Caenorhabditis elegans: one gene and its partners. The protein of the gene in region 2 purifies or fractionates together with the protein of the main gene of each other region. This does not show direct contact. Each region holds a gene or a part of one and is shown on either strand. Other genes may lie near its edges. The genes, in order: acox-3, clec-137, Y54G11A.9 and srh-56.

Region 1 (9,351 bases), on a different chromosome or scaffold from region 2:
TCATTTTGTGTAGTCAATTCTGGTGTCACAGTGGGCTCCACAGAGTCTGCAAAAAGAATAGGTTTTTAAACGTTACACACGTGAAAAATTACCAGTTGCTGGTGGGGACGGTGTTAATTGAGACCAGTGATAGCGACCGTACAAGTCCGGTTGCGGGACCACGGCGGGGCGGGGGTCCGAATACAGAGGATTCATTGCGCGCACCACTCCCGATCGTGACAAAAATCTAAAATGACAGGCAGTTTGTAAATGCGGTGCACATAAGGGAAAATTGTGGCTATTCGAAAAGACAACTGAAAAGTGGAGGAGGCAGGCTATACAAGAAAGTGTGTATGTTTCCAGAAATGCAACCCTTTTCGTGTATGCACTCTTTTTTAAACTTCGAGGTAGTGGTCTTGTTTGTTTCTGCCTGTGTGTGTGTGTGTGTGTGTGTGTGTGTGTGTGTGTGTGTGTGTGTGTGATGAGCTCCATAACAACTTATAGCACGTTTTATATTCACGCTTGATTGGTACTGAAAGCCAAAACATCTTTTCACGCCTGAATGGTACGGAACGCAACAATAACGGTAATGAGGAAAACATGCCAAATACGAAGAATCTAATTATAATTAAACTATAGTGTCGACAATCGGATTTCTCATAAAATCAAGTGAGAAAATTTGGTCAAATTCTGCATATACTATGCAGTAAAGACCGCCGACGGGAACCTTTTCTCGGAAATTTAAACGAATGCTGACGTTTGTCTGTCGCACCAACTCAAATAGTGAAGTGTCCTGAGCAACGGGACTCAATTCAAAACCAAAAATCGTATATCCGCCTTCTTTAAACATTTGGGTGCTAATAGAATTACATGTGGAATTGCTTCGCGAGTGACCGAGGGTTTCTTGAAGTTGAATGTATGCCTCCATAAACTTGTTTCTGTCAAAATCTAAGGCAAAAGGGCGGCCGGGGAGTGTCATTCCACAATAATCAACATGTATATCAGATATACCATGTGGTTTGAAATTGAATGGTGATTTATCATAAGAGCCATTGTACGCGTCAGAATCAACAAGACCAATGAAAATTCGACGGGGCATCTTGCTTGTGAAGAGTGTGTTAGCCGGCGCGTCAAGACGTCCAGACTCTATATAGAAACTGCGCACCTGTGAAGATATTAGAGGATATTGGATTATTTTGTGCTCAATAATGGAGCTCTCTAGAGCATTAGATAGACCGTCGGCAAGATCGAATTCGTTAACCAGAGCGTAAACGTCGGTTATTTTGAACTGAAACTCTGTGTTGTTGTCGCGATTGTAAACCTCAATCAAAAATTTACTATCATTTGGGTAAACTGTAAGTTTCACATTACAACCGTTCAAGAGCACTCGCGGCTGATTCATCAAGTCAATCGAAATGTTTGCCGCAACTTGTATTTCGTCCTGGTTGTAAATTGAGGCACAACGCTGTTGAAACCCAGGACTACGGTGGTCGCCAATCACAGGGTCATGATAGAAACCGGCCGCGGTTAGAGTGGAGTTTTGAATTTCCTTCCCGTACATTAAAACGTGTTCAAAATAGCTCTTGTACGCATAGTTTGACGAGTTGTGAAAAGCTAATTGTGAATTAATGTGTAGTGTGAAATTTCAGATCGACTAGTTTTCCGGTCACAACTCGGATCCCCGTTTTCAATGCACAACTTTACGATCCACACATTTCAACGTTTTATACACTAATTAATGCCAGAAACTTATTCGCAACATTGGCACACATGAAGCAATAATTAATAGGCACACACGGTTTTCAGTGAAATTCCTCAATTATTCTAAAACGGGGGACCAACCGAGAAATTTGCAAAAATGCGCAACTTTAAGTCTTTTGCACAACTATTCCCACTATACTACTAACTTACTCTAATTGCTTGATGTTTAAGCAATAAAATAACAGAAAAATAACATAGTATGATATATTGCATAAAAGAAGATAGGACCGCCACCAAGCAGTCGAAGAAGGCAGAATGAGTGATTTCTTCTTCAGAAAATGGGCGGGTTTGTGGCTTCTCTGACTCTCTCAAAAGCTCAGAATGTGTGACGTTAGAGCTAGAGATTATTGAAATGTAGGAGGTTTTGAGAGATTAGCAAAAAAGGAAAAAAGGATTAGAAATGTTTTCAAGCTCTTCTTTATGCCAAGATCATGAAACGAAAGACTTGTTTGAGAAGAGGGAAATAAGATTATGAAATTATGAAAAAAGATGGAAAATAAATAGTTTTAATTGTATTTCAATCATGCTTCAATTGGCCAACTCTTGTGTTCAAATTTAAATTAAACAAAAAAATTATTATGCTGTTTCACGAATACTATATGAACAGAGGCATTTTCTCTGTTTTGATATTGAAACTTCAGCTGAAAAAAAGATCTCGTAAAAACAGTCTTGATCATGAATTAAACTAATCTCTTCTTGTTAATGTTAGTAATGATAGAAAAATATTGCCTGAACTTTGTGGTTCCACTTATTTTAACTTATAAAATAGTGAAACGCATCTAGTAATTCGAAGAAAAAGCAAACTCTCTATTGAGGTTTTCAACAAAATCACAAAGTTGGCAATCACATTTTTTTCCAAATTCCACAAAATTGATGAGTAGGTTTTATCGGACACCTAATATAATTGCTCAAGTCAGAGCAAACCTATTATTATTATCAGTAATTTCAAGTTTTGGTAGTTCAGCCAAAATTGATTTCGGGAAAACTATGAAACCGCTAAAAATGTTTACATCAAAGTCTAAACTGCAAAAATGTTGGAAAATATTGTAAAAGTATGAAATATTGAAGTTAAAGTGCTAATAATTTTTAATTTAATTTTAATTTAATTTAATTTTTATTTTGACCAGTACGCTCCTGGAAATGTGTTACCCCCACTTTCGCCAAAACTGTATTTAGAAATTTTTTAGCGTATTTTTATTTAAAAACATGTTTTACACTTATGGAAATAATACTAAATTTTTTATTATCCACTACGTTGTTTTAAACTATTTACTTGTCCACATTCTCTCTCCGAGCCCACTTTAAAACAAGGAAACATGAATTTTCTGTAAAATTTCAGTTAATTTCCTCTGACCCTTTTTACAAACACCAGCTAATTACAATCTACTACGATAATTTTAAAAGACCATTCCTCCCCCTATTTATACAATACCACCACGCTGTAGTCAGACTGTCTTCGATCTCTGCGTCTCTCAATTACTTTCTATTTTCTTTGTTTTTGATAAGACTACACTCTTCCTACCCAGTACATATGCAATTGCTTTTGTCTTAATTTTGTTCAGTTTATTTTAACATATATTCTGCTGAAAATAAAATGAATCTTTTGAATTTAAAGGATTTATTTAGTAAATTTTTCAGTTTCAGATCAAAAATGAGTGCTCCTTTAATTGACAAATACCGGAAAATGGCAACTTTCGACTGGAAAAAATTGAAAGCAGCCGTTGAAGGAGAAGAACATGTTAGACTGAAGGTATAGTAGATTTTGGATTTATAAAATATTTATATATATTTCAGTCAGAAGTAGTTGCTAAAATGAAGTCAGAACCAGTATTTCACAGAGATTATCGAGTATTGAGTAGAGAAGAGCAAAGAGAAGTTGTTCATCAGAGATGGAAGAAAATTGTCGAATGGGGGTTGTTCAAAGATGTATTTCTTATTAAATTGTAGATTTTCAATATATTCGAATATTCAGCCGTACTCCGATCTTGAAAACTTCCATGCATTGACTGAAACTCTTGAAGCTTATGATCAAGGCACATCTGCAAGGCTTTTCCTCCACGGAAATGTTTTTGGAGCAGCTGTTAAGTCAATGGGAACAGATAGACATAAGGATTTGATTCAGAAAACTGAAAACAATGAGGTGAATTTCAAAGAAAATAGCATACAAAATTAAGAAGTACTCAAGAAAAAGAAAAATCAAAACAAATTTGAAAATAATTTATTCTAAAGAAATTTAAACAAAAGCGCATTGTATTCAAATCTGGAAAGTTTAGGTTTCCTTGCAAAATAGCAAATTTCAGATCGTCGGAGCATTTTGTCTGACAGAAGTAGGCCATGGTTCAAACACTGCTGAAATTCAAACAACAGCTACATTTGACAATGGAGAACTTGTTTTCAATACTCCAAGTGTCAGTGCAATCAAATGTTGGGCTGGAAATCTCGGTGGGTTTTAAAACATTTTTAATTTTAAATTTAAAAAAATCCATTTTTTTAGCTCACTCGGCCACTCACGTAGTTGTTTATGCTCAACTTCATGTCGAAGGAAAGAACGAGGGATTTCATGGATTTGTGATTCAAGTTCGTTGCCCTAGAACTTTCCAAACTCTACCAGGAATTACCATTGGAGACATGGGCTCGAAACCAGGATGCTGGCAGGGAGTAGAAAATGGCTGGATGGAGTTTAAGAACCATAGAGCTCCTCTGAGTGCACTTTTGAATAAGGGTTGTGATATTACTCCGGATGGAAAATATGTGACAAGTTTCAAATCTGCAAGTGAGAAGCAGAGTGTCAGTTTGGGAACATTGTCAGTTGGAAGGTATGTTTTCAATACTTTACGACGCCGGCCGTATAGAAAAATTTTTTAATTGAGTGAAATTTGTATCTAAAAGAATTTCTGTTAAAAAAATCAGGTTCTGAAGAATTTCTAGCCGCTGTTTTACCAACTTTTTAAATGTGTTGTTTTTTTCTCAGTTTTAGTAGATACAAGATGCAAATTTCACGGCCGAGCCTTATTATCAATAAAAGCAAAATCTCAAAACGAATCTATTCCAGCTTTAATCGATACTTTTAAAATATGAATTGATTTTCTAGAGTGAAGCCATTGTATTTAATACAAATAGAAATAATGGAAATGGCATTCTTAGGACAATTCGAAATTGTAAAAGCAGACGAATTCATAAAGTTGGGAAAACAGTGCAATCTATAAGTTTTTCCGATTGATTTTTTTCAAACAAAATACTGTTTCAAAATTCAAACTTTACCAACAATGGTTTCACAATAACACAAATTTCAGACTCGGAATTATCGCAAAAGGAATGATGGCTTGCACTTTTGCATCTACAATTGCTATTCGATACAGTGTTGCTCGGCGACAGTTTGGACCAGTAAAAGGCGGTGAGCACCATTCCTTTTCTCAATTTCTCAACTTTTGTATAATTCAGCTGAAAATGAGATCCCAGTTCTCGAGTATCCACTTCAACAGTATCGTCTATTCCCGTACCTATCCGCTGCAATTTGCATTAGAATATTCCAGAAGAAGTGGGAACTCTAAACAAATTGTTTTCAATAATTAGTTAAACTTTATAGGTTTGTCGGACATTTCACTGAATATATGATGAGAGTCATAATGGGAGAAAAGTCAGACGAGCTCTCCGAGTTCTCAAAAGAAGTACATGCATTGTCGTCTGGAGCTAAACCGGTTGCAACGTGGCTTGGTGTAGAATCCCTTGGAGAAGCTAGAAAAGCTTGTGGAGGTCATGGGTATGTTTCCTAACATAACCTGAAACTTAACTTTAAGAAACTCATTTTTTGAGAATTCGTCTTTCTATTTTTTCCAGATTAAAGTTAAAATTTAAATTACAGATACCTACAAATGTCACGATTGAACACCCTCCGAGATGACAACGATCCATCACAAACATTTGAAGGAGAAAACTTTATGATTTTGCAACAAACCAGCAATATTTTGCTAGGAAAAGTAAACTTAATTGTCAGATTCTTTAATCATATTGAGATTCTGATGTTCAGGCTCAATCAATTGGATCCATTGAGACCCCGATGTCTACTATGTCATTCTTGAATCAAAAACCTTCAAAGTTCTCATCATGGTCTTCGAATCCAGTTAATGACGTGTTGTCTGCGTACCGATATCTCACTTATCACTTACTTCAAACAACTTCGGCAGAAGCTTACAGACTAAAAGCATCTGGAAAGAATTCATTCGAAGTTCGAAATGAAATTCAAATTCATAGAGCTGTCAATTTGTCTGTTGCATACACAGAACATACAATGATCCATTGGGTTCAACAGTTCTTGAAAGAAATTGAAGATCAAAGTGTGAAGCCGGTTCTTCAAAAAGTTTTGAATCTTTTCTCACTTTTCCTTTTGGAAAGACATCTTGCAACTCTTTATATTACTGGATATGCTTCTGGTGGAAAGTTTGGAGAAGATCTTCGAGAGAAGCTTAGACTCGCTGTAGCCGAATTAAAACCCGAGGCCATTGCTTTAGTGGACTCGATTGCTCCAGATGATTTCATTTTACATTCAGCTCTGGGAGCATCTGATGGAAAGTCAGTTTTAAAATGTAAAGGTTTCTGCTGAACTTTAAATTTGATTTTCAGAGCGTACGAGCATATAATGGAAGAATTCCGGAAGTATACAAATGAACAACCAAGATGGGTTTGCGATTTGGCTCAGTTTTTGCAAAAGAGATCACAAGGATCCAAGCTATAATATTTCACAAACTGTATATTTCCCAATAAATCCAGTTTTTGAATAAATTCAAAATATACAAACAATTTCAAATTTCTTTGAAAGCTAAAATTTTTGCAAAAAATAAAAATCTAAACGTATAAGCAAAGTTTTCAGATTTATACATATCGTCGACGTGAAACGGCAAAATTTTTTAAATGTTTAATTGAAAAAATTTATTAAAACTTTGGTACCCGGATGTCAGGAAATGCTTAAAAGGCTTCTAACACTGGAAAATAGTTTCTCATTTAGAACCAAAACGATAATGTTGCGTTAGTTTAAATGAATTTATATGATTAATGTGAAACGGGGAAAATTTAAAATAGTGATAGCGCCCACGGGGAAAATGTTTAAAACTATTTATTAAGTGCCAAAAATCATTGTAGAACTTTCACAATGTATTTATAAAATAATATTTATATGAAATAACACCAAAATTTAATTTATTTCCACGCCAATTTCTAATTTTACTTTAAAAACTGTTCTCACAATATTATTGTATCAATGTTGTCGCGAAGTCGATGAATACAAAGATTAACTCGCTCACGACTTTTATTTTTAATTTCTATTCTCCACGTGATAAAGAATCCATTTCACATATCTGGAGAATTTATAAATTTATCAACTCTCATTAATTTGCTAATTGGCTTGAAAGGGTTGTGCATCAAAAAGGTCTTCCGTTTGAAATTCTTCGCACGATGACAAATAATTTCAAAAATACAATTTTCAAAACTTAAAGTTTTTCAGAACTCGTCCGTCTGATTCTCCAATGTCAACTTTGTATTGCGTGCGAATAACTTCAGGAAACTCTACAAAGGCTCAGAAAGGCTGTAAAAGCTCGAACACAACTGAAGCTCCGTATACCAATGTTGCGTGATTTCAAAAAAGTGTTATACCATCAATGGGAAACGGTAAAAAGTTTTTTTTAATTTGTAGGTGCAAAATGCTTTGAAAATTTTTTGTTTCGAGATTTTAAAAATAGAATAACACAAATTTTTATCAAATTTCAAACAATAATCATTTGATACCATCCGTTAATATAATCTCCATTGTAATCATATTTCCAGTATAAAGAACCCATTTCACATGTGAAACTGATTGAAAGTTTTTCTAACCCTGATTCAATTGATGTCATTGCTCTACACGGACAAGTTGTTGTAGATTCAGTATTATTTCCTGTACAATTACAACCAGCACTTTCTGATAAACATCTTCGCGTTCTAATCCACATTGTATCGCCATCATTTCTTCCGTAACTGGAAAAAGAGCTCCAAATTCCTCCAATTGGACAACAATTATATGTTGAGTTAGAAACAGATGCAGCAGTTTCAGCGGCTGTTGTTAGTGGTCCACATTGAGTTGTTCCGTTCAGAACCATTGAGACATATGGAATACAACAAGTACGTTGAGCTGGATATGAACATGGTTATGTGTTGCACGGATAGTAGCGAGTTGCATTTCCACTGAAAAGAAATATTCTGATGTACATAAATAATGGTAGGAAAGTTTTTTCATCCTTGATTTTTTGCATTTTCTACAAGAATTTTTGGAGTGGAATTTTTTTTGAAATTTCACAAGTTATAGAAAACTACTCAAATGAAGTGTTTTGCAAGGTATTTTTTTCAGGTTTGGTTACACATCGATGCTCAATAATTGGGGAGAAATTGTGTTCCACCCTTAATGATACTATTCCTGGTGAATGGCGTGAGCAAATCTAATTTTGGAAGTTTCCAAGCATATCATACCTGTCACAAGGACAACTTATTTCCTCTGAAACGCAGGATAAGTTTTAGCACAAGAACCACAACTCGCTGAGCATTCGACACCTTCTGCATCAGCCCATTCACTCCATAAACCACCAGTTGGACAAGTCACGTTGATGGAACATGTCTTCAATTTTTAATTATTAAAAACTAAAAAAAATCTTTAAAAAACTCACAGAGCGATCTGCTCGACAAATTCCAGCAAGGAATGCCACCAAAATAAACACATGCCACATTTTGATCGTATTTAGTGGTTTATGAAAGATTTTATAGATATGGAGAATGGAAAGAGAAACTTCCATAAGAATTTCAATAAAACGAACAAACACCTGAGTCCAACAGTTTGGAGTTGATATGTGATATCTGATCAGTTGAGTATATCAGCATCAATTTTTGGAAAAGTGAATATCTGAATTTTTAATTTTTGAACTTTAGAACTTTATGATTTTAGTCGAACTAAAACTTATAATGGAATAAAAATTATTCAATAGAAACAAAACTGATAAACAAGTATTCAAAATTTTATATTTTGACCGCCAAGTTTTGCCATGAATTTTATGAATTTCATTAACACCTTTATTTTTTGCATTGGGGAGTTTTGAATGAAATTTAAGTGTTCACATCAATTTAGTTGAGATTGAGATTTATTGAAATTATCAACAAATAAGTTTTTCACAACACATGCTGAACAAATCCAGTCACTGCATATCCACCGTAGTCATAGACCCAATTCATATTTTGCATATGACAACTGAAGGAAATATTCAAGGTACTTGTACCAAGAACACGTCGAGCTTCACAATCAAATGGACGATCTTCGAGTCACTGATTGGGGACTGATGTTGAGAACCGTACAAGTGGAACATAAGTTCTTCCTCCTGTAAAATTTACGACAAATTTGATTGCCAGTGCTACTATTTTCAGAAAATTTCAGATTTGGAGTCTTACCATACGCGCTACACGCCGGTGATCCCGAAATATCATTACTTGCTATCAATGCAGCAGTCATAACACAGTTAACATTGTTGATTTGAATAGAATTAGCAAAATAATTCGATCCTTGGGCACATCTCTCTCCAACTTGAGAAGCTGGTAACA
Region 2 (7,289 bases):
TTCGTGTGTTTATTAGATTAAGTATCTTTCAATTATAAATTAATGTTTCCTTTTCCTTTTTTTGGCAAATTTTGGTCACTTGAATGTTCAGTTTCATTTTTTGCCAATCATCTTTTCTAAACGTCTTATTGCCAGTTGATTTTTCCAATTTTTTCAAATCTTCCAGTACGTCACAAAAAGATGCATGAAACTCAAAAGTTTTCGGAGTGTTTGATCGCTAGAGATTTCCTATAAAACCCACATTACTTTCAACAAAATGTGTTAAACTCTCAGCTGGGCCTCTCGAAAGTTCCCGTTTTTTTGGGGTTTAGTGTATTTTGGCATGTGTTTAGATCATTTTCTTGCCATAAAGTTTTCATTAAGCTCCAGGCATGTGTGCTTACCTACATACATACCTCGAACCTGTCTGGCCTACTTCAGGAGTTTGTTGGCACGAGGTAGGCCTAGATTGCCTTGAAGGCACACCGGCAGGCATCTTCTGTTGCTGATGTCACTAGGCTTCTCCTTTCACACTTACTTTAACCCCCATTTCCTGCTTAACCATTCATATATATGTATAATACAGTGAAAAACCTCCCAACCATAAAAAGTTAATCATCATCACTGTAAAAAAAAATTGACAAAAAATCCAGTCCCATCTATTTCCTCCATCATCTCTAAATCGCGTATTACCGAATATTCGCATCATATAGACCGTGTCGTGTTTTTTTTCTATGTTGGAAAGGATAGGGATTGATGTACTTATGTATAATGGGGGAAACGAGACTCGAGATTTTTTTTATTCGCTTTTGTTTTTTACAGTTTTCACTGTTTTGTAGGGAATTTCAATGTTATTTTTTTAATACTAAGTTACAAAACTATAGAAAAAATTGAAATTTATTTTTTCAGCTGACAATTTTCAATCAAAACTAAAGACAAGGTGCATCACATTTCTAGGACCCACATTTCTTATAAGTTTCTCAAAACAATTAAAGTGGATGTCTTCCACACAAAACTGCTTCCACGTCGTTTCCATATGGTTTTTCATCGTCTGTATAAGCCTGCACTGCATTTTTTCCCACACAAAACTCCAAACTTCCCCAATTCTTTCTTGTTTCTGTGCCATTAGCCTTGACAATTCCAGATTTTAGAACAATGCAATCAGCGGCGAATCGGAATCTGTAATATTTGATTTTTTATGATTTCACGCTATTTGATAATTATGTCTAATTTACATTGGACCATTGTCAGCTTGATGAACCATATAAGCAGCTGGAAGTCGACGTTTGTAATGGCTCAGCATGAATGTAGTGTCACTATTGACATCATCGAACAAAAATAGATTATTCTTGATATTACAATCTCCTTTTTCTTCTGTACTGTTGAATCGATGACGAAGTATGATTTCGACTTTATTAATACGACCGTTGCATTTTGGAGAAATTTGACCGTCAACAGCATAAGGAGCTTCAATTCCATGAGCTCGGGCGATTTCTGAAAGTTTTTGAAGATTACAACACTGAAAATGTTTTTATTGAAAAATATCCCTACCAGAAAACACTTGAATCTCGTGCTCATTTTCTGGAATGGTCAATGAAGCGTTCACATAACTGCAAAATGATCGAGCTCGGTCTCGGTTTCCCATGTTCTTGAATTGGAAAACCTGAAATATGGTCATAAAGCATTATGAACACAAAACCCAAAACTTGGAACTTACGCCCAAACACCAGTCCTTTGTATGATTGTTCCTTGCAGTTGGGACTCTCTTGACATGAGAAAACCCTTCTGGGCATTGTGGATCCTTTGCGAAAACCGCAGTCAAAAATAGCAAAAAGAAAACGAACATTTTTCTGTCAGTTTTGAAAAGTTTCGGCGGGGTTTTGTACCTATTGAAATCGATAAAATTGTGACTAAGCCATGCGGAGCCATTATTTTCCGACAGCATTTGATCGTTTCAACAAAAGCGTGATGTTCAACAACACCCACAAAATGCTCTACCGTAGTATTTATTCTTCTAAACATTTTGATTTGGACGTAGCAGATGCTTGTTGTACCTATTTTCTTGAGGTTTATCATAAATTATACATTATAAATTTACTCTAAAAGTTTTCCGGAAGCCAAAAAAGAGATAATGTAGAGCTCTCCGATTTTTCTTGACACAGAAAATAGGAAGCTTTGAGAAATTTTTTACAATTTTTAGGCCGTATTATCAACAAGATGGAACTTAAAAACGAAAAGTTCGAGACGAAAGTTAAGATGAATTAATTGACTTTTAGTTTACAAAAATGGTATACACACTTGTCAAAACTCTGTAAAAGGAAATGTTTCGTTGCGAAAATGATTTAATTGTAAACCCGCACAGGGATTTTCGTCGCCTAAGAATAACCTGAAGTTCACTTGCGGAAACAAATTGGGTGTACCTTATCTTTTCAATCAGCTAAGGTAATAAGAAATATCAGAAAGATTTCGGAAATATAATATTTATTAAATATTGAAAATTAATCTTTCCAGAAATGATAGAATACATTTACTTAGAACGGCAATCGGCCACAAAGAACGGCGGTGACATTTTTTTCTGGTAGCCTCTTGGAGCCAGCTAGCTGTCCCATACAATCCATCAAATTAGTGTGCCCATCTTTTAGTGTTCCATTAGAATAGTGATACGATCCTTTTTCCAAAACGGTACAATCTGCTGTACTGCGATACCTGAAAATGAAATGTTGGATGCAAATAGGAAAGTCGATTTTCAAAACTTACTCGATATCATCATCAGCTTGTACACTTCTTACGTTTGATCCTGCCGAAACACCTAGCTTTGTGCGAATGAATGAAGTATCCGTATTAATATCATCATATATGAACAATTCATATTTAATATTGCAAATTCCTTCTTCAGAAGTTTGATTAAATCGTTTTGCACCCTTTACTTGTCCTTTGTAAATTGCGAATTTGCATCTTGGAGAGAGTTGTCCATCAAGAGCGATTGGTACGGAAATGTTTCTCAAGCTAGCAGTCTCTGGAAATTTTACATTTTTCCGCATGCAGCAATAAAAAAATCCTCAAAAACTTACTAGAAATCACTTCGAGTTCGTGTGAATTTTCTGGAATACTCAACGACGCATTGTAATAGATACATACTGAACGGGCTCGGTCGCGATTTCCCAGATCCGTTTCATTGAAAATCTTGAAATATCATTTTAAAACTATTTAGGTGTCATTGATATGAACAACTTACCCCCAAGCACCATCCCTTTGTAAAGTTATTTTTTGCCGTCGGTGTTCTCTTGAAATACGTAAAGTTTCCCGGGCATCTTGGATCCTTCGCAGAAAATTCTGGGACTGCCAAAAATAGTAGGAATAGAACTAACATTTTATACTGAACTTCATAGAAGGCTTTCAGCATGCTTTTGTACTAGTCAAAAGCTATAAAACAGTTGTTCGCCCCCTGTAGCGTTTCCGATTCTGCGGAGCCATTATTCCCCGAATACATCAAAATGATACTGTATCTCGGGGCTGGATAGCGGAAACGACGCATTATATTTCTTCATCAGGTTGGATGATTTCATTCAAAGAAATTCTTATATAACACGTAGGTTGATAGAAGTTGTCAAGAATATTGAAACCATGCGCTTTGAAACAAAAAAATATCTGATCTAATAAAGATTCTAACAAAAGTACCCTCATTTTCAGCCCTTTTATCAAAAACATTTAACACCAAAACTGTAGAGAAATTTGTAACACATTCTTTGTCAGCTTATAATTTTTGGTAAAACAAAACACAACCTAGTTATTAGCCGTCAAAATTGAGCAACTGAGTGCAAGCCTATGACTAACATAAGGCCCTCTTGCTTGTTATGATACCTATCCAAAAATTTATGTACACAAACATTTGTGGTTGAAAACAAGACTTTGAAGCTAGATTTTTTAAAACCAAGCTTTTGTCGGCTTCCGAGGTAGAATATAAAATGATTTACAAGAATAAGTTTTTTTTTGATTTCAAGCTTCGAAACTCTTGATTTGTTACAGGGTAGTTTACTTTTAAAATAGTCCTGTCTCTGTAAATTTTGAAATATGATTAGCTCCAATCTTTAGCTATCAAAAAATACTTATTATGAAAATTATGCATATCCTCGACTGATGTTTGTTGCAAAATTGGTATTTTCTGATATAATCACAAGTGATGAATTCGAACAACAACTCCAAAATATTTATTAACAACTGTCTTTTCTGATCAATTAACTCAGAGAGGGAATCTTCCACAAAGAACACTACTATATTCGTGTTTATTTTGCTTATCCTTTTCCCCAAAGCATCCGAGCAATTCAGTTCGTCCATCTACCGCATAGAAATGTGTTCCATTAGAAAAGTAATAGTATGCATCTGTTAATGCGTTACAATCTCTGGTGAAACGAAATCTGTAAATTGAATTCTAGACTTGTTTGACGTTGAATCTAGAAATTTTCATACACTTACTTTACTCCGTCCTCCTGACTGGAGTATCCTCCATTAGTTCCAGCCGAAGTACCTAGTTTGGAACGGATAAATAAAGTATCTGTATTGATATCATCATATACAAACAAATGATTGTTAATATTGCAATCTCCTTCCTCTGTTCTTTGGTCAAAATATTGTTGGCTCTGTTCGCCTCTGAAAATAAGGGCCTTGCATCTTGGAGAGAGTTGTCCGTCGAGTGCAATCGGGAGGGAAATGTTCCGTGCGCGAATAACGTCTAAAAATTAATTACACATTTAGAAGCATATTTTTCCTAGCGATTTTGAATTGAAGACATGTCTTTAAAAAAAAACATGATCAACTTACCAGAAACAATCTCAAGTTCATGTGAATTTTCTGGATTGCTCAGCGAAGCGTTATGATAGAGACAGACTGAGCGGGCTCGGTCACGATTTCCCACATCCGTTCCATTGAAAATCTTGAAAGTGTATTTTAAAACTGGGTACTGTCTCTATCAATAACGTACCCCCAAGCACCACCCCTTTGTAAAATTATTCTTAAAAGTTAGTGTTCTTTTGACAAAAGTAAAGTTTTTTGGGCATCTTGGATCCTTTGCAGAAACCGCCGGAACAACCAAGAATAGTAAGAATAAAACTAACATGTTATGAAGAGTTCAAGAAGAAGCTTTCAGTATGCTTTTGTACTAGTCAAAAGCTATAAAAAAGCTGTACATCCCTTCAATGATTCCGTTTCTGCGGAACCATTATTCCCCGAATACATCAAAATGATACGGTATCTCGGGGGCTGGGCGGAAATGACGCATTTTATTTTTCTACCTATTTTTCAACTTTTTCTAGAGGGAAAATTTTTTATAACACAAAAAAAATCGAGTCATGATATACATTTTCAAACTAGGCATACATTGTAAGAACAATTTATATTGTGCCTCGAGGACAGATTTCTCTGAAAAATCTTCAAAAAATTCAAAAATTGTTTATACATTTGGCACTAGTTAAATAATTTTATACTGGAGCACATCCACACAGAACTCCGAAGAATGGCACCTCGCCGACTTGTTTGTCTGGTTCTTCGCCGCACCTGAAATTTTTTTAGTTTTGGGTTTGAAAATCCTGCAAAAAAAAAACTCACAAAAAATCCTTCAAATTTCCAGTATTCTTGATTGCCTGGAGATTATGTAGAGATAGACATTCAGCGATTGTGAAAATTTCTCTGAAAACTAGAACATGAAGCTTTTATCCCACTGGGTTCCTTACGTAGAGTCCCCCTTCTCCTGATACTTGTCTGATGAAGTTGGCGGTTCTCCAGACCACTTTGTGAGAATGAACGCTGGATCGGTGTGATCGTCCTCCAGAATAAATAGCTAAAACGATCGGGATACTTGAAACACACTTTTCGAAACAAAAACCTCTTTTTCTTTTGCGCAAAGTCCTCCAAACTTTCTCATTCGCCAGTCGCTGAAACCTCGGCATTTTGGATTGAACACTCCGTCCACTGCGACTCGTTTATTGTTTTTTCGAATTAAAGCTGAAATTTGTGTTCAGTTTTAACTTGCCTAAAAGTTGTTTGTCAGTTTCTGTCGGCTTTGTTGTGCCTTTTAGCATTTACATTCAATAACAATGACGTTGCATTTACATAATTTGTTTGATAAATGATAACAGTGATTGGCTTTAAGCATGTTAGTAAATACATAACTTTCAGAAAAGTTTTAGCCGCCGGCTCTATTTTTTCACATTTTCCAAATTTTTCAAAAAACCAGAAAATTCGCTTTCCAAAATAGTACGAATGCTAATCGCTGCCTCCAGGTGTTTGTTCAGCTTGCGAGAATTTGTAAAATGGCATCACGCCGATCGTATTTTTAATAAGAGACGAGAAGGGCGGGTAGGCCCTATTCTACTTGTCTGCCTACAGGCCTACTTACTGTCTTCTTTTTTTGTCATTTGAAGTATTTAGTTTCAGTAAAATTTAGAAAAAATTCCACGTAGAAAAACAGCATGTCTACAAAAAAATTTTCGTCACAACCGAAACCCTTCTATTAGATTTAAACTGCCAATTGAAAAGTAGGTAAGTGGGCATGCAAAAGGCAGGCGCCTGTCACCTTGTAGGCAAATATTAGTCAACTGGAAATTGTTCCGTTGGACTTTACATATAATTTTTCTAATTAACAATACTCTTATTTATTGAGCAGCTACTTACCATTGATATCATCCAGCTCCTCTTGGTTCTCGACATTCGTAATAACTGCGTCATAATCTAGGCAAACTGATCTTGCGATAGGTCGATCATAGACATCCTCGTTTTCTATTACCTGAAAAATTAAAATTAATTTGAAAATTAAGTTTGTCTCATTTCTAAATTCAGTAGCGGGCAGAAATTTGGGATCGCGATAAACCACTAAACTTTTGAAAAATTATTTCCTTTAATCCACCTTCATACACCAGTTCTTCGTGAACTTATTCCTCTGCGTCGGCTTCCTCTCATACAACTTGAATCCTTTCGGACATACAACTTCTTTCTCTGTTGCATTAGATGCTTCAACAACGCCGCATAAGGCAACAATAAGAATCAGAAAAACACTTCTCATCGTCGTCGAGAAATAAAGATGTCGAGTGAAGACAATTTGATCTATATAGGGGAGGTTGACTTTTAGTCTTCACATCATCTTGAGACGGGCCATCTGAAGGAAGGAAAGTAGACACTGTCTCTTGATGACACATACATTGAGTACAAATTATAAAAAAAACCATAGTTTTTGGACAAGGCCATGTTGCATGATAATCGTTGAACTTTTGAATTTGGACGGGAATAAACCTTGATTGTTACAGTTTTTTCTTAAATTA
Region 3 (7,540 bases), 9.7 Mb from region 2:
TGCAAGACTATTAGGGAGTGCAATACTAATTTTCAGAACATTTTTCTGACTATGAGCTTACTAGTTTTTTTTCTGAAAAAACTCGAACCTTGTGTGAAAATTCAGAAAATTTGATTGTAATTGCAACAAAAAGGTGTAATAACTTCAATTTCATAGAAATTTTTCCAAAAATTGTTGCACAGTAGGCAAAACATGTTGTTAAAATCTCAAAATTAGTGAGTTGATTTTGTACCAAAAAAAAGTAGACGCAAGACTATTAGGGAGTGCAAGTCTAATAGGGAGGCCATATTAATAGAAGAAATACGGTATTTTATCAGCATTTTTCAGAAATAGCACATTTTTCAACAATTAATCATAGGAAGCCCCGAAAAAAATGAAAATTATCGCACTAAAAAGAATAGAACTCGTTTATTTCTTGACGTTTTTTTGAAATTTTTGTGATTTATCAGTGCAAATTTCCGTTACCAACGAAAGTTGGATTTGCGAATGAAGAAAAAAAATTGTTTCAGCCGATAAAAAAGCCTGAAACTGGCAATATAAAATTTATATTTAAAACAATTGACGTGAAATGTTTGAAATCTACTGGATTTTCAAATTTTAGTCAGATAACGTGAACTTTGCAGTTCGAAATGAAACTTAGCTCTAATGATAAGAGGGAGGGATTGCCACGTAAACCCCGTTCTAGGACAGTGTGAAAGGGTACTTTTGAACTATACGCACTTAAATTTCCATTAATTTATCGGTTTTAATTAAACCTGATACCCATTTTAGGCTGAGGAATGATGTTTTCCTATTAAAAAACACCATATAAGCCTAAAACTACAAAAGCATTCCACACGTTTTTATTTCATAGTTTAAACAATTAATTTTTAATAATACACAAGTACCAAAAAAAGTTTTAAATGTTCAATTTTAATATTTAGTATTCATTAATTTTTCTAATTTTTAATTAAAACATTTTATTCTTGCAAAGCTTACCGATTTTTGAGCACTAACGTTGCTCCAAAGTTATTGAGCATATTTATTGTATGTGCCGAGCTGGCTCCGTAGATTTGATACGATATCTGAATCAAGGGTGTTGTTTTTCTATTTTTCGGCTTTACTAAAAGTCAAAAAAAAATTTCGGTAAATTTACCATAAAATATTATTTTTTTTTAAAATCAAATTTTGTTTATATTGATGAGGAAAAACATTAAAAGGGGTACCAAAAAGAAGCACAATGGCCAAAATTTTAAGCTAATTGTTGAAAATTGAAATAATATTCGAAATATCGGAAAATCGAAAATGGAAATTTTTCGATTTTTTAAAAAATTTTACAGTACGGTATTTAAACATTTTCAAAGTTTCCAGTTAACAGTGCTGCACAGCAGCTCAGGTTCAGGGTCGACTACAAACCTTCATGACTTCATCAATATATTCTTCAACTTCTGCCATCCGGGTCTCTCCGCAATAATTAATCAAAAAATTCGCGTACGCTTCTAACGTCATTCCAAAAAGTGCAATCGGGTCGGTGTACATTGGTCCAAACGTATCGACAGTGTGTCGGTCTTCGACAAGAGCTCCGTGAGCAACACTGAAACATTTTTCTAAACTTTTTTAAATACTTTATACAACAAACCTAAACTTTTTCATATGCTCTTCCATAACCTTCATTTGTCTTCTCACACAATGCTTGAAACCACTTTCCGCGCTTTCGAGATCACCTCGATGTGCCAAGATGTCGGCAAGTTTCAGAGAAACTCCGATAAACTCCGGGTCAAAATCTTTTTTTCCGTGAAGCTGAACGAGGCGCTGAATTACAATTCGAAAATATTTATCGGCTTCGTCCAAATTCATTTTCTCGTAAAAAGTATTGGCCATTTCATCGTAGACTCGTGTGATTGGCATATCTTCTTTCCGCTCTTCAGCCTCCTCTAGTGCCAGTTGTAGTACTTGAATTGCATCGTCGTACTGGCGTCGTTTCCGGTAAAGCCAAGACTGGAAAAAGAGGAGGGTCTCGCGAGGAAAATGTTTCTGTACAATTACCTGTTTAACCTTCTCTTTCAATGGATCAGCATCCAGCTGCACCTTCTCAATGCCCAACACATCCTTGATAGTTGTCATCCATGAGAGAGCGAGTACTGTAGTTCCGCCGGTCGCTGCACTTTTTCCATATCTACTGAAATATTGATCTTAAGAATTTTTAACTCAATTTAATTTATTTACGTATGCGTAGAATGCGTATTACACAACATATTTGCCGAGCAAAATATCTCGTTGGGAAAATTACAGTAATTCTTTAAATGACTATAGTATACTGTAGCGCTTGTGTCGATTTTCGGGCTCAATTTTCGCTATATTCCATTTCCTTCGTTTCTTCGTATTATTTTCTCATATTTTGCTTAATTTCAATATTCTATCGATAAATAAACGATTTAAATTAATTTCGAAAATCGAGCCCATAAATCGATACAAGCGCTGCAGTAGTCATTTAAAAAAATTGCTGTATTTTTCCCTACGAGATATTTTGTGTCGAATACGTCGAATATGTTGCGCGATACGCATTCTCGGAATTTTGTGTGCTTAAAAAAGAATCTGAAAAAAATTTGTTTCCAAAAAACTCACGACCATCTCCCGCCACCGTTGGTTTTTCCACCGCTGCCCCCATGACGATGATGCTGCTGTCGTGACCGCCCCGAGCTATGATGCTGACGTGTAGTCCCGGTGGAGAAGGCGGCCGCCACAGGACGGACCGTAGACGTACATAACTTGGACATGGATGGCAGCATCTGCATTTTTTTCAGGTTTAGGAGACATTTGAATAAAGTGAATCATTATTAAATAGAAAATACGGTGGGAAACCGGAGGGAATTGTAAAAAACAAAAAAAAATATCTGAAAATCTTATTAATAATTTACGAATTTAACCCGACTCAAACAACGATCTCAAAAAATTGTCTACTACTACAAAATCACTAAATAATAACTAGAAAAAAATTCCTAAAGATAAAATTAATAATTACAGAAAAAATACAGGGACAAAGGGAAAATTTAATCCATTTTCGGCGCAAAACTTGATCCACAAGAGCATCCTTTTTCGGCAATCGGATTATTGACAATTCGAAATGAAGATTTCATTAAATCTTCCACGAAATCCACGGTGGCGCCTTTGAGAAAGCCAAGGGAGAGCTGAAAATTACAATTTTTAAAAACACAGAAAAATTGAATGCTTTAAATTTTTGTTACACGAAAATAGATTTTTCTAATAAACTTTTTTAATTGTTTTTCTTATTTTAACATTTTTCAGAAAATTTTTTTTGAATCGAAAAAATTGCCTTTTGGGCGAAATTTTCTAAACCGTTGTTTTTAATTTTAAAATTTTTCGGCAAAGTTTAGAAAAAAACCGAAAAAATTGACTTTTGTGAGAAATTTTTTTTGAATATTCGCTACGATTTTTCTCATCAATTTTAACATTTTTTACACGTTTTCACCTCATCCACCACAATTTCAGCTCCATTCTCTGATGATTTCCATAATAAATCGTCGTTGTTAATTTTTTTGTCCAATCGAATTTTATACTCAAATCCCGAGCATCCACCTCCATCCACCTCAAGTCGTAGGCGTTCTCCGTTATCAACGACTTCCTTGAAGAATTAATTTTTTAAATTAAGGTTTTTTTCTAGTCATTGAAAAAAATTGAATTTTCGAACAATATTCACAAAATTTTTTAACTTTCTTTTTTGAAAATCGGGGTTTCTCTGAAAAGCACTACAAATCAAAAGTATACAATTTTTTTGTAAAAAAAACACCGGAAATTAAATGCTTTGAAAAACTTTGAAAAATAGGAAAGTGCCGATTTTTTTCCGAAAAAAAAAACTGGAAAATCGAAATTTCTCGTTTTTCCATTTACAATATTTCTAATTTTCAAAAAAATTGGGCGCCCAAGGACAGACTAACTTTAAGCCTGCTCGCTGCCTTATTCGTCACTTTAATCTCTTGCTCGGTGAGCATCCGATGAGCCTGTCGGGTTACTGTACAAGCCATTAGTCTGCCGATTTTTTGTGTGAGCATTTCGAGAAAATTCTGAAAAAAAAATCTGAAAAAAGTTGAATTTTACATCAAAAAGATAGATTTTCGTGATTTTTGAAACATGGAAAATATTTTTTTAAAAATGCCGAAAAATGAAAAAAAATTATTTTAAAAATTTAGTTATTAAAGATACATGGAGAAAAGCACCTATTTGAAAGAACGTAAGGCAAAGCAAGATTATTAAAGCAATTTTTGGGCAATAATTTGGGGAGAGGGTGAGTGTTGAGATTAACATTGTTTTGGAAATTTGTCTGAAAACGGAAAAAGAGATAATAATGTACATATAGGGATATCTAAAAATCTAGAACAAAGAATAGAAGAGAAGAAGTTAGAAATGAGTATACATGAACTGGAAAAAAATAGAAAAAATAGGGATTTTATGGTGGAAAATGCAAACTTTTCAGCGAAAATTTCAGTTTCAAGAAAAGATCTTTCAATATTGCTACAAAAGTTCTATTTTCTCGGCTAAACTAATCAATGTTTGCAGAAAAATGCGAACTCTTGCAGTAAAACATTGAGGCCACACGAAAAGGGGAGCAGAACGAAAAGGGGATCTGCAAAAAGGGGATCTGCGAAAAGGGGAGATACGAAAAGGGGAGCAACGAAAAGGGGATCTGGCACTGTGCCAAGCGCTATTTTTCTCGAAGAAAACGATACAACGATGCTCCGATGTTACGCGTCGCGTGTTGTTAAGCGTATCTTCTAGAAGAAAATTTCAAAAATCAACGTGCGTTGCGTGAGAAAAATTGCGTTTTGTGCGTTTGGCACAGTGCCAGCTCCCCTTTTCGTTGCTCCCCTTTTCGTATCTCCCCTTTTCGCAGATCCCCTTTTTGCAGATCCCCTTTTTGCAGATCCCCTTTTCGTTTTGCTCCCCTTTTCGTGGGGCCTCAAAACATTTTGATGCAAAAATTTTAGAAATATTGTTTTAATGTCCATTATCTATATTACGGGAGCACATGAATGCGTATTGCACAACATAATTGACGCGCAAAATATCTCGAAGAGAAAACCACAGTAATTTTATAAAGTACTACTGTAGCGCTGGTGTCGATTTACGGACATCATTTGAAAACATAAAAAAGACAACAAAAAAAAAAACGAAAAACCAATTCGAACACAAATTTGTATAAAAAATAAAAATATATTTTTTTGTTTGTTTTTTTGTTGTCTTTTTTTTGTGTTTTCTTTCGATATTTCATCGATTAATAAATGATGTCCGTAAATCGAAACAAGCGCTACAGTAATATTTTAAAGAGTTACTGTAGTTTTCGCTACGAGATATTTTGCGCGTCAATTATGTTGCGCAGTACGCATTCTCGAAATTTAGTGTTCCCGTAACATTTAGTTTTGTTGTGGCTTTTTTCGTATTTTTTCCAAAAATTCTCGAATTCTTGATTTCTACAAATGTTCCGTCTTTTTTATCTTCGTGGATTTGTCGAAGAAGACGGCGTCGGGAGTGTTGGACTCTGCTGAGTGGATCGAATTCTCTGTCTTTCGAATCTCCGCTCCATTTCATCCAGGAGTTTCGGCATATAACGGATCACTAGCTTTACACTTCCGACTGCGGATTTCAGAAGATCAACTGCTTTTTCGTGGCATTCGGCTTCCACGTTCTGAAATTTTTTTAAAGTTATTTTTTTGAATCAAAGTTTTTTTTCTAATTCGAGTTATATTCTTCTACTAATTAAAAGTGTAGTTGTTTTCAATTTTAAAAAATGAGAATAAATTGTTCATTTTTTCGAAAAAAAATATTAAGAAAAATTTATAATGTTCTTTTATATGGAAATCTTCGTAAACCGAAAAATTCTGTCTTTTATTACTGGTTCCTTTACTTTTTTCCGGTTTATTTTCTGAAAAACACTAAAAATCTGAAATCTTCGATAAAAAAACACTTAAATTAAAGTAAGTTTCGTTTTTTGCTTAAAAAAATGAATTTTTAGATTTTTTTTTCATTGAAAAACATTGAAAAATCAATATTTTTCGATGTTTTTTTTCCGAAAAAAACTAAAAAAAAATTGAATTAAACATTTAACCCACCACTCCGTTGACCGCAATAAGTTGATCGCCTCGTTTGAGACCTCCGTGTCTGTCGGCTACGCCACCAGGGATTATTCTGCAATTCAAATCGTTTTTTTTAAATTATAAAATCATTAAATATTTTTATATCTGCACCTGGAGATGTAAATCGGTGAATTTTGCTCCTTGCCGCCCATAACATTGAATCCAAGCCCTTGATCGGTTTTTGGGAGCTCAACGATACGTGGATGCGCGTGGCCTTCGGCTGCAGCAAACGCCGCCACTGTTGCTTTAGCTGTTGCGGCGGCTTTTATCTGAAAAATGTTTAGTGTTTTTTTTTGTTTTCTGTTGTTCAAAAACGGCTCAAAATTATTTCGAAAAATAAAAAAACTACAATTTGAAATTTCGACAACTTTTAATTATCAAGGTTGGCGGCAATTGTCGCTCGGCTTTTTTTTTGCCAAATTCGGCAAATTGCCGATTTGCCATAATTTGCATTTCCGGCAATTTGCCGATTTGCCGAAAATTTTGATTTTCGCCGAACTACCGATTTTCCGGAATTTTTTGTAGGGATTTTCATTATACGGAAACACTTAAAACTGTGCCTTTTTGAATTTTTTAAAATTTAAATTTTGAAAATTCCAAAAAAAATGTGCAAAACCACAATTTGCAGATATGGCGGAAGTATTAATTCGGACAGTTTGCCAATTTGCCGGAATTATCAATTCCGACAATAAGCCGATTTTCCAGGAATTTGAATTCCGGCAATATGCCGATTTGCCGGAAATTTCAATTCCGGCATTTTTGTCAGTTTTATCAAAAAAAACTGAACCTCTGGCGTTGTATCCGCATCAATTGATTCATAAACAGTCTCATAGACCTCTCGGACGGCACCGAAAAATTCGGATTGTAGCACCTGCTGCAGCGATGCCAATTTTGCATTATTGACCTCTCCAGTCTTCTGAACGTGCTCCATGAGCTCTAGAATACGCTGAACGTCCCGCTCCAAATTCGGACCATCCGGGTTATCCATCTGGAAGATTTGGTTGGAAAGGAGGGGAAAAATAGGACGGAAATAGGTAAAAATGGCAAGAAAACCAATTAAAAATTACAAAATTAAGCTATCCAGAGCGGAAAAACATTATTTACTATTCTAATTGACCATAGCCCGTCAGAAAATTATTAAACACAACAAAACCAAAAAAAAAATCGACAAAAAATTAAATTTAAATTTCATGTCGCAGCGTGTGCTTCTGAGACAATTCCAGCGGAATCACATTGAACGTCATTTTGTACAAATCCACGTCTTTCCTATACTCGTATCCCTTCATCTCCTCAATTTCATAGTCCGGATCGCATTTTTCCTGGGAGATACGAACGATTCCGTCGCAATGGGCACGCAGAAGACGTTCTCCGCGATCGTTTTCATAGTAAACCTGAATAACTTCTCAATAATC
Region 4 (7,936 bases), on a different chromosome or scaffold from region 2:
TAAAGAACACCGTGGCATAACGATAGCTGTGAACACACTGAAATTACTTTTTTTTTTCATTTTTCGAAGCTTATATTTTTAATCTTACAATTGGAACTAATAAATCAATAACTGCAGCAGAGATATTAAAAGTGGCAAAAAAGTACAACAGATATCGGTAGTCACCGAATTGTATCGCCTTTGCAGATTGAATTAGGTACACAAAAATTGGATTCGCTATGAAAGATAAGGCAAATGATATTTTCGGGATGATGAAGTGAGCCCAGTTGATGAACATATTATGTCTGTTTTTGGCTTGAATAGCTACTCAAATTTAAATACTACTGAATTTATTAGGAGACTCTCTAGACTATTCCCAAGTGACAAGTTGTCGTGTTTTGATACGTTTTTTGAGGGAATTTTTGATAAAGTATTTTGAATGAAAAAAACACCGTTTTATTCACTTGGGAGTTTGTAGACATTAGCCATCAATAGTATTAATTTGATTTGAAGAGACTTGAACTTGAGACGGGCGAATTCCAATTTTTCTGCCAAGTCTTTGACGCAGCGCTGGTAGGCACATTATAATAGCCAGAGGATCCAGAAATGGGAAAAACGAAATTGCAGTTGCAGAACCCCAATTTATCCAGCTGAAAAAAATATTATGGGTAAATGGAGATTAATGGGAAGTTGCCAATTTTGGAAGTTTGGCATAGACAATATTGGCAATGGCGAGAATTTTTCCAATGTTGGTAATTTTGGCAATTTTGGTAATGTGAGCAACTTTGGCAATTCTGATAATTTTTTGTTGATTTTGCAACTTCAGAAACCTCGAAATTTTTGGTAATTTGACAATTTTGGCAATTCCGAAAATTTTGACAATTTCGGTAATTTTGGCAATTTCGAAAGTTTCGGTAATTTTTACTAGTTTGCATTTTTGCCTATTTCTGCTATGTTGGATATACTGTCAATTTCAGCAATATTGGCGTTTTTCGCAAAACACTTTGTACATTTTACCTTAATTGGCAATTTCGGCAATTTTGGCAACTGCCAAAAAATTTCAAAAACTAGAAAAATTGTCAAAATTTATAGAAATCGGCAATTTCAGCAACTCCCGAAATTCTTAAAAATAGATTTTGGTCTCACTTGGGAAAGTCTATGCAAAATGCAGAACCATAAAGAACCAGTGTTACTGGCATAAAACTGACACAAATCGGAATTATAGTCTGAATAGTTAATGCCCAGAATAGTCGTTTTTGCATTTGCGCAGTTTTCAGACTCATAGTTGCCGACCCTTGATTTAAACCTGACATTATCTGAAACTGAATTAAAGTTTAAAATTTCAAATTAAAATTTTTAGAAACTCACTTTATAACCTAGGACAAAATATAAAGTCATAGAATAGGAAGCAATAACTGTCACAACTCCAGTTCCTATCCACGCTCGGAAAACTATTCCTGAAGAGGCTTCCTAAAAGAATTGCTTCGATTTTATTTTCAGAGACATTTACCGCATATACTGCAATTTTTGTACTAATTGTGTTCACATCCACGCCGTATTCTTCTTGAAAAGCTTGTCTCACGTAATTCCTTGATTCGTCGCTCGAATACATAGTTGGCTCGACTACAAACGTCCATAGACCGATATGGAATATCACAAGAAAAATCGATAATATCAGACCGTATGGCATGAAATAATGACTAACAAAACTTGTATTTTTCAGGACATTATAGCGAAAAATGAAATGAATGTTGAGGATTCCATAGGTTCCAGCAATAAACGCACATCGCAAGGATATTAAGGTAGGGGCAAAGTTGGAACGCTGAAAAAAGGAAAAAAGTATTCGAAAAAACTCAATTCAATTTTAACTATTTTAAAGGCTCGTAGTTGTGCTTCAAAAAGATTAATCACACAATACAAATTTTTTTTGGAAATGTTTGTTTTTTGTTGAAAAAAACTGTAACCTTTTTCAACAAAACCGGTCGAAATGTTTTAGTTTTTTTTTTAATTACTTGTTGTAGATTTTAATTATTCGGATAACAATTTATGTAAATATAATATTGTTTGAACTCGCAATTTGAATCTCTATCATTCAAGATATTACCTCTGAAAAAACACTATCTACAATGAAGAATACAGCCGCATAACGATAGCTATAAACACACTGAAAAAATTGAAAAGTTTGGATTTAAAAAATTGAAAAACTTACGGCTGGTATCAAAATATCCACAACTGATGCAGTAAGATTAAAAATTGCAAAAAAGTATAAAAGATAGCGATAATCACCGAATTGAATCACTTTTTCCGTACGTATCAGATATACGAATACAGGATTGGCTATGAAAGACAAGATAAACGTTATTTTGGGAATGATAAAGTGAGCCCAGTTGATAAACATGGAGTGCGTAGAATATTCACCGAAAGCAGCTTATATGTCAAATGACAAAATTTTGGTTCTGAGAAGAATGTGTTGATACGTGCCTAACAAAAGAGAATGTACCTAACATTAATCTCATTATACATACTAGGTTGTCTCATTTTTTGGCAAGTTTTCACAGACACCTTATTAGTTCCCACGATGACATGATGTAACAAGGACATAGCTCAAGCACGGAAAATTTCCAGTGAAGCGTGAGTAAGTAGCAGGTCAGTGAAATCTCTAGAAACTTTTCACACGCTTCGATACTTGAAAATTTTTTTTTTCGATTTTTGACAATTTTTCGAAATTGTTGAAATTACTGAAATCGGCAATGTTACCTGAATTGCCATAATTTTCAAAAATGCCGAAAATTTTCAAAAATCTTAAATTGCCAAGACTGCCCAAAATGTTAAAAAACTTCCGAAATTGCCAAAATTCATGATACTGCTGAAATTGGTGAAAGTTCTAAGTTTGTCCAAATTGCCCAAATATTTTAAAACTGCCAAAAAGTTTGAATTTGCGAACATTGAAAAAAATTGTCAGAAATCCTAGAGTTATCGAAATTACCAAAATTGACAACTTTGCCGATATGGATAAATTGTCAAAATTGCTGAAATTCGTGAAATTGCCAAAATTTTTCAAAATTGATGAATATGCCAAAATTGCCAAAATGGCTCTCACTAGCAAGATGCGCATCTGTTTCCCGAGTGAAAATAGTCAAGTTTTGTCCAAAAAAAACATATTTACTAAATATTTGTAAAAAAATCTTGCTTGGCAAATAAAACGAAAATTTAAAAAAAACTAATTAGACACACTTCCATGTGGAGACGTCACAGGTTCCACGATGATAGTCATTCTCCGTTGTGAAAATCGTTGTCCAGGGATCAGACTTTTAGTGAAATCTCTGTATGGTTTGTAAATAAAAAGGGTGCAACAGGTGCATAGAAGTCCGTGATTTGCCATAATTAGCATAGCGTTGTTGTTGTAGGCTGCAAAAGTTTGGAACGTGTTAGCCATGTTTTGGCTTTTTTAAATAATTTGCACTTTCTCACCTTGATTATAGTAATTCATTTTGTCTGCATACATAGTGTAGGCCACAGGAAATGCAATGGCAATCCATGGAATTGAGATCTAAAAAAACACATGCTAGAATTAAATGTTTAAAATTTTAAAAATTTTGTGGTTTTTCAATTTGTCAAAAACATTTTTAAATTTTTAAAATTGAAACAAACCCATTTAAATTTTTTTTGCATTTTTTTGCAGTTTCATTTGGCTATTCCAGTTAATTTTCAGTTATAGTTATACTCACCTGAATAGAAACATTCTTCAGAAACTTTCGCTGAAGATTCTTCGTCGCCGCCGATATTTTGGCACTTGATACTAGTGTGAGGTGATAAACGGTGTGTAACAAAAAGAAAAAAGTTTGGAAAATAACAAATCCAAAACCAATTGTGATTGACCAGAATGGCAAGACCTCTCCGCCCTGCAGCAGTACATAGGTTTTTGGGTCCCAGAATTCGCTCGTCGGACAGGGGATTCTCTGTAAAATTAAGTTGAATTTGAAGACGGGTGTTAAATACACACGACCGAAAAATATAATAAACACTTCAAAAGTTTTTAGTTATTCAAAAATTGACATTTTTGAAAAAAATTGAAAATTCCCGCAGATCTGAACTCCTAGAATGTTTCAATATTATTAATAAGAACGCAATTAATTCAAAAAAAATCTTTTGGTCGACTTCCAAAATTAGGATATGTGAAAACTGAGAGTTTTCACATTTTTGACTTTAAATATAAAATTTTATAAAATTTTTTGAACATTTCTAATATCTCTGAATGGGCATTTTAGTACATTTTACTAACCTCCAAGACCTTCTGTCTCATTTTCAATTGGTCAGTGTCGTCTAGATAAAATGGAAGCATAACAACAAATGTGAATAAATAGTTTAATGCGAAATATGTTAAACGAGTTTTTCTCCGTTTGATTTTGAATCGAATCGTGGAAATTTGACTATGTTGATTTTCATAGAGCATTATAAAACAGACACCCATCACTGAAAAACATGTGGTATTTGAAATTTATATTTAAATTTCCTAAAAGATCCTAAAACTTACTAGTGACGGAAACCTGTCCCCAATACGACTGCCACTTGACACCTACTCCCAAATATCCTAGAAGCCCAAGGGGTACTCCGGAGGCACTCGGAAAAAATATATACGGCCCCGAGTACACTGTGAACATCAAATCGAGATTTGTGCTCCAAGCCAGGGATATTAAAAGTGGGATTTTCATATTTTTCATCCGCTTTGGCGTCTTTGTTATAACTGTGTAAAATGTGAATATGGATAGAGGAACTGTTAAAAGTGCTGTGAAATGATATGCATTGCGCAGATAGTCTGCCGAGCCAAAATAGGAGTAGGTTTCCCGGCAGTTTGAGGTGTTGTTGTCTGGCCATGCCATTGGTTTCCTGGAAGATGTTTAATATAATAGGTTTCGATAGGAATTCCGAAAGTGTTCACAAGCTAAGCGTTACAAGAAAAATTCCTTAAAAAGCCAGAAAACCAGAGCCTAAAAGTTCAAAGCCCCATTTGCATGTAAAATGATCCGCGCGGTAGAGTTGGACGCGCCGAAAAATTCTTGATCGTTGATGTAATACCACCGTAATCCTGCTAATTTGATAATTTGAGGTGCGGAGTTTTCAATTTTTTTTTCTCGGAAATTTATTTTTCTAGGAGGCTCTGACTTGGAGTTTCGATGTAATGCTAAATGCTGTGTTAGTGATTAGGGACATTTAAAAAGGGAAATGTGTTTTGTGACAGATCAAATGATCATCTAGGTTGGCGATGCAAAACAATACGGCAAAAAAGTGTAAAAAACTGATGTCTTGCAGCGGACATTTCCCGGGTTAATTGGAAAGTAAATGGGACCCCACATCTTTCCTGATTTTTTGTCCGGAATAGAGGCTTTACCAGAAAAATCTTTACAATTAGTTCTTCAATTTTTACAGAAACCTTTTTATTTCAACATTTCAGAATCCTAGGTTCAACAGCTGGAAATTTATCAATTGGACAAAAACTTGGTTTTAATTCTATTCAAACAAGGGCCTATTCAAAAAAATTGAGCTTCTTATCCACCTAAAAGTAACGTTTGATCCAAATTATCGGGCTAAGAAAGGACTAAGAGTAGTCGGTGCTGAAGATGAAGTCAAAATTGAAAATCAAAGGTTTGGGGTACATGTCAAAAAAAACAATTGTAGGAATTGCTAGAAGAAACTCAGCGGATTCAGTTCGAATAGTTGTTTGAAAAAAGTAGATCCTCATAATTTGTTCGACTTCTAATTTGACCAGAAATCTACTACACCGCAGTAGAAATCAGGTATCCTGCTGTGTTTTGTCTGTGGCTTCTTAGCTGCCGAAGCGAGAAAAATGCAAACAAACTTCGAAAATGTCATAAATTTATGCTATTTTTGCAAACTTAGTGACGACCTAACAAATCTAGAAAAATTGAACTTTCTACCAAATCTAAGTAGATTTTTTTGGAAACCAATAGATTTAGTTATATTCCAAAAAACTACATACTTATGAAACTCAGAAGTAAAAGCTTTCAAAATGTGACTGAACTCGCCAAAAAGTTCAATAAAATGAGCCGCGCGGTAGTTGTTTCACGCCGATAAACATTTGATCGTTGATGTAATACATTTCCACAAACCTGCTAATTTGATCAATCGGGGTACACAAGTTTCCCAATTTCCTTATTTCTCAGAAATCGTTTCTCCAGAAGGTCGTGTTCAAGTACTTTTCTGACTTGAATTTTTGATTTATGGTTAATTGTAAATGTTTCGTGACCAGGAATCTTTCAGAGAAAAACTTCTTCTTCATCAAATTACATAATTAAATGTTATTTGAATATTTAAACAATCTGATACTTATTTTAAAAGTATGGTAAATTTTTGTAAAGTTTTTGAAAACCTCAGGGGTCCTGAAGCTGTTGTGTGGTCGATTTTTCAATTTTTGAGGTATCAGAATTTAATTATAGGTACGAAGTTTTTTTTTAAGAAAACCACTGTCTGGATAAAAAATTATTTTTCTGCAGTGTTCCTACATTTTTTGTACGAAAGTTTTCTGGCGCCAAAATGAAAGAATTTACATTTTTTAGATTTACCTTCCATTTGGTGTTTGCGAGTCATAAATCGAATTCCACTAAAATAACATTTGCACACAATTTAGCACAAAACTTTATAGCCGCTAATTAAATCTTGCAACTCATAGTTTGAGTCCAAAAATCTGCGAGGACATTGAGCCTTAGATATTTTAGTTTAACCGAAAAAAAAACTCAAAAACTAGCATTTGTCTACATGGTCAAAGTTCATCTCTCACAAAACCGAAAAAAAGTTTAATCTGTATTAATTTGTTTATCGAGAGATACCCTAATCGGCACGCGACCTCACAGTCTGGCGATCCTCCCATTTTCAACACTTGAACGAACAAATTACATTGCGGGCGTGCGCGGCAGTATATAAATTTTTGAGATTCACTTTTAGTGACCAAAATCTAGTACTTGTCAAAAATGGGTAGATTCTCTGATAAAGTTGCAATAATTACAGGTAAGGGTTTTTTTTAGAAAATGTAGTGAAATTTTTCATCCAGTACCTTCAGTCATTTTGTAAAATAGTCTGTTCAATTGGGGGAACATATTTGTTTGGAATTTATTAAGTTTAACTAGAGTAGCGTTGAAATACTGTAATGGTACTTTAGGGTTACTGTAGGATTACTGTAGGATTACTGTAGTTGAGTTAAGCTTTTGAAAATCTCTTTTTTTTATGTTTTGGCAGACCAATTTGGAGATAAAGTCTCTCAAAGTATAACGTTCAGGCTCATCTTCCGGAATTGGTCGCTCCACGGCAGTCCTCCTTGCTCAGGAGGGAGCTAAGGTTACGGTAACCGGAAGAAGCTCGGAAAAAATCCAGGAAACTGTGAATGAGATTCATAAAAACGGTGGCTCCAGTGACAACATCAACATTGTTCTCGGCGACTTGAATGAGAGCGAATGTCAAGATGAGCTCATCAAGAGCACTTTGAGCAGATTTGGTAAAATCGATATTTTGGTGAGATTTCTCGACTTTTTAAAATTTTTGACTGTTCCATTCAGATTAACAATGCTGGAGCGGCGTTTGCTGACCCATCTGGAAAAATTGGCTCCGAGGCGGCGATTGGCATTTTTGATGATATGATGAAGTTGAACTTGAGAAGGTATATTTTATTTACAGGGGATTTTTTTAATTGTAACTTATTTTAGTGTTGTGGAGCTTGTCAAAAAGTGTCGTCCGCACTTAATCGCTAGCAAAGGGGAAATCGTTAATGTTTCTTCAATTGCTGCTGGTCCACAACCGGTGAGTAAAAGCGGGCCAAAAGCGGGCCAAAAAACGGGCGGCAGAGGGCTAATAACAGGCAACACGATATTTTATCTAAAAATTCGATACAGTCGTCTGAAACAACTCCTCTACAACTTACAGTAACATCATTTTTTCAGTACATCTA

What was found.
Region 1: the proteins of clec-137 (region 2) and acox-3 fractionate together in Caenorhabditis elegans (co-fractionation; one large-scale study listed by BioGRID). This does not show direct contact.
Region 3: the proteins of clec-137 (region 2) and Y54G11A.9 fractionate together in Caenorhabditis elegans (co-fractionation; one large-scale study listed by BioGRID). This does not show direct contact.
Region 4: the proteins of clec-137 (region 2) and srh-56 fractionate together in Caenorhabditis elegans (co-fractionation; one large-scale study listed by BioGRID). This does not show direct contact.

Annotation. Positions count from the first base shown.
Region 1 is NC_003282.8:6,242,520-6,251,870, reverse strand, and holds acox-3 (Acyl-coenzyme A oxidase acox-3), read left to right. Parts: upstream 1-3,378; 5' UTR 3,379-3,391; coding exon 3,392-3,490; intron 3,491-3,534; coding exon 3,535-3,666; intron 3,667-3,712; coding exon 3,713-3,880; intron 3,881-4,040; coding exon 4,041-4,182; intron 4,183-4,234; coding exon 4,235-4,556; intron 4,557-4,717; exon of another isoform or gene 4,718-4,738; intron 4,739-4,867; exon of another isoform or gene 4,868-4,889; intron 4,890-5,033; coding exon 5,034-5,134; intron 5,135-5,181; coding exon 5,182-5,278; intron 5,279-5,326; coding exon 5,327-5,500; intron 5,501-5,602; coding exon 5,603-5,717; intron 5,718-5,767; coding exon 5,768-6,309; intron 6,310-6,360; coding exon 6,361-6,472; 3' UTR 6,473-6,513; downstream 6,514-9,351. Other genes in the region: F58F9.1 (uncharacterized protein), read right to left, coding at 1-46, 93-195. UniProt on the Caenorhabditis elegans protein: Involved in the first step of peroxisomal beta-oxidation by catalyzing the desaturation of fatty acid-derived side chains of ascaroside pheromones, which regulates development and behavior.
Region 2 is NC_003280.10:4,614,709-4,621,997, forward strand, and holds clec-137 (C-type LECtin), read right to left. Parts: upstream 3,383-7,289; coding exon 3,215-3,382; intron 3,163-3,214; coding exon 3,051-3,162; intron 2,996-3,050; coding exon 2,737-2,995; intron 2,686-2,736; coding exon 2,511-2,685; 3' UTR 2,444-2,510; downstream 1-2,443. Other genes in the region: clec-136 (C-type lectin domain-containing protein), read right to left, coding at 969-1,158, 1,215-1,473, 1,531-1,642, 1,697-1,825; clec-138 (C-type LECtin), read right to left, coding at 4,220-4,394, 4,453-4,708, 4,798-4,909, 4,958-5,092; clec-139 (C-type lectin domain-containing protein), read right to left, coding at 5,454-5,529, 5,581-5,661, 5,706-5,812, 5,858-5,976, 6,646-6,757, 6,878-7,033.
Region 3 is NC_003280.10:14,341,677-14,349,216, forward strand, and holds Y54G11A.9 (Core domain-containing protein), read right to left. Parts: upstream 4,062-7,540; 5' UTR 4,050-4,061; coding exon 3,936-4,049; intron 3,623-3,935; coding exon 3,470-3,622; intron 3,168-3,469; coding exon 3,030-3,167; 3' UTR 2,869-3,029; downstream 1-2,868. Other genes in the region: ddl-3 (TPR_REGION domain-containing protein), read right to left, coding at 979-1,064, 1,396-1,573, 1,619-1,977, 2,026-2,158, 2,605-2,768; Protein lin-7 homolog, read right to left, coding at 5,486-5,680, 6,105-6,180, 6,240-6,397, 6,916-7,116; Y54G11A.17 (L51_S25_CI-B8 domain-containing protein), read right to left, coding at 7,310-7,519.
Region 4 is NC_003283.11:2,768,783-2,776,718, reverse strand, and holds srh-56 (Serpentine Receptor, class H), read right to left. Parts: upstream 4,860-7,936; coding exon 4,514-4,859; intron 4,453-4,513; coding exon 4,262-4,452; intron 3,939-4,261; coding exon 3,708-3,938; intron 3,530-3,707; coding exon 3,451-3,529; intron 3,388-3,450; coding exon 3,200-3,387; downstream 1-3,199. Other genes in the region: srj-18 (Serpentine Receptor, class J), read right to left, coding at 461-629, 1,126-1,301, 1,348-1,449, 1,490-1,801, 2,084-2,143, 2,189-2,377; dhs-15 (DeHydrogenases, Short chain), read left to right, coding at 6,966-7,002, 7,271-7,503, 7,548-7,648, 7,695-7,788, 7,929-7,936.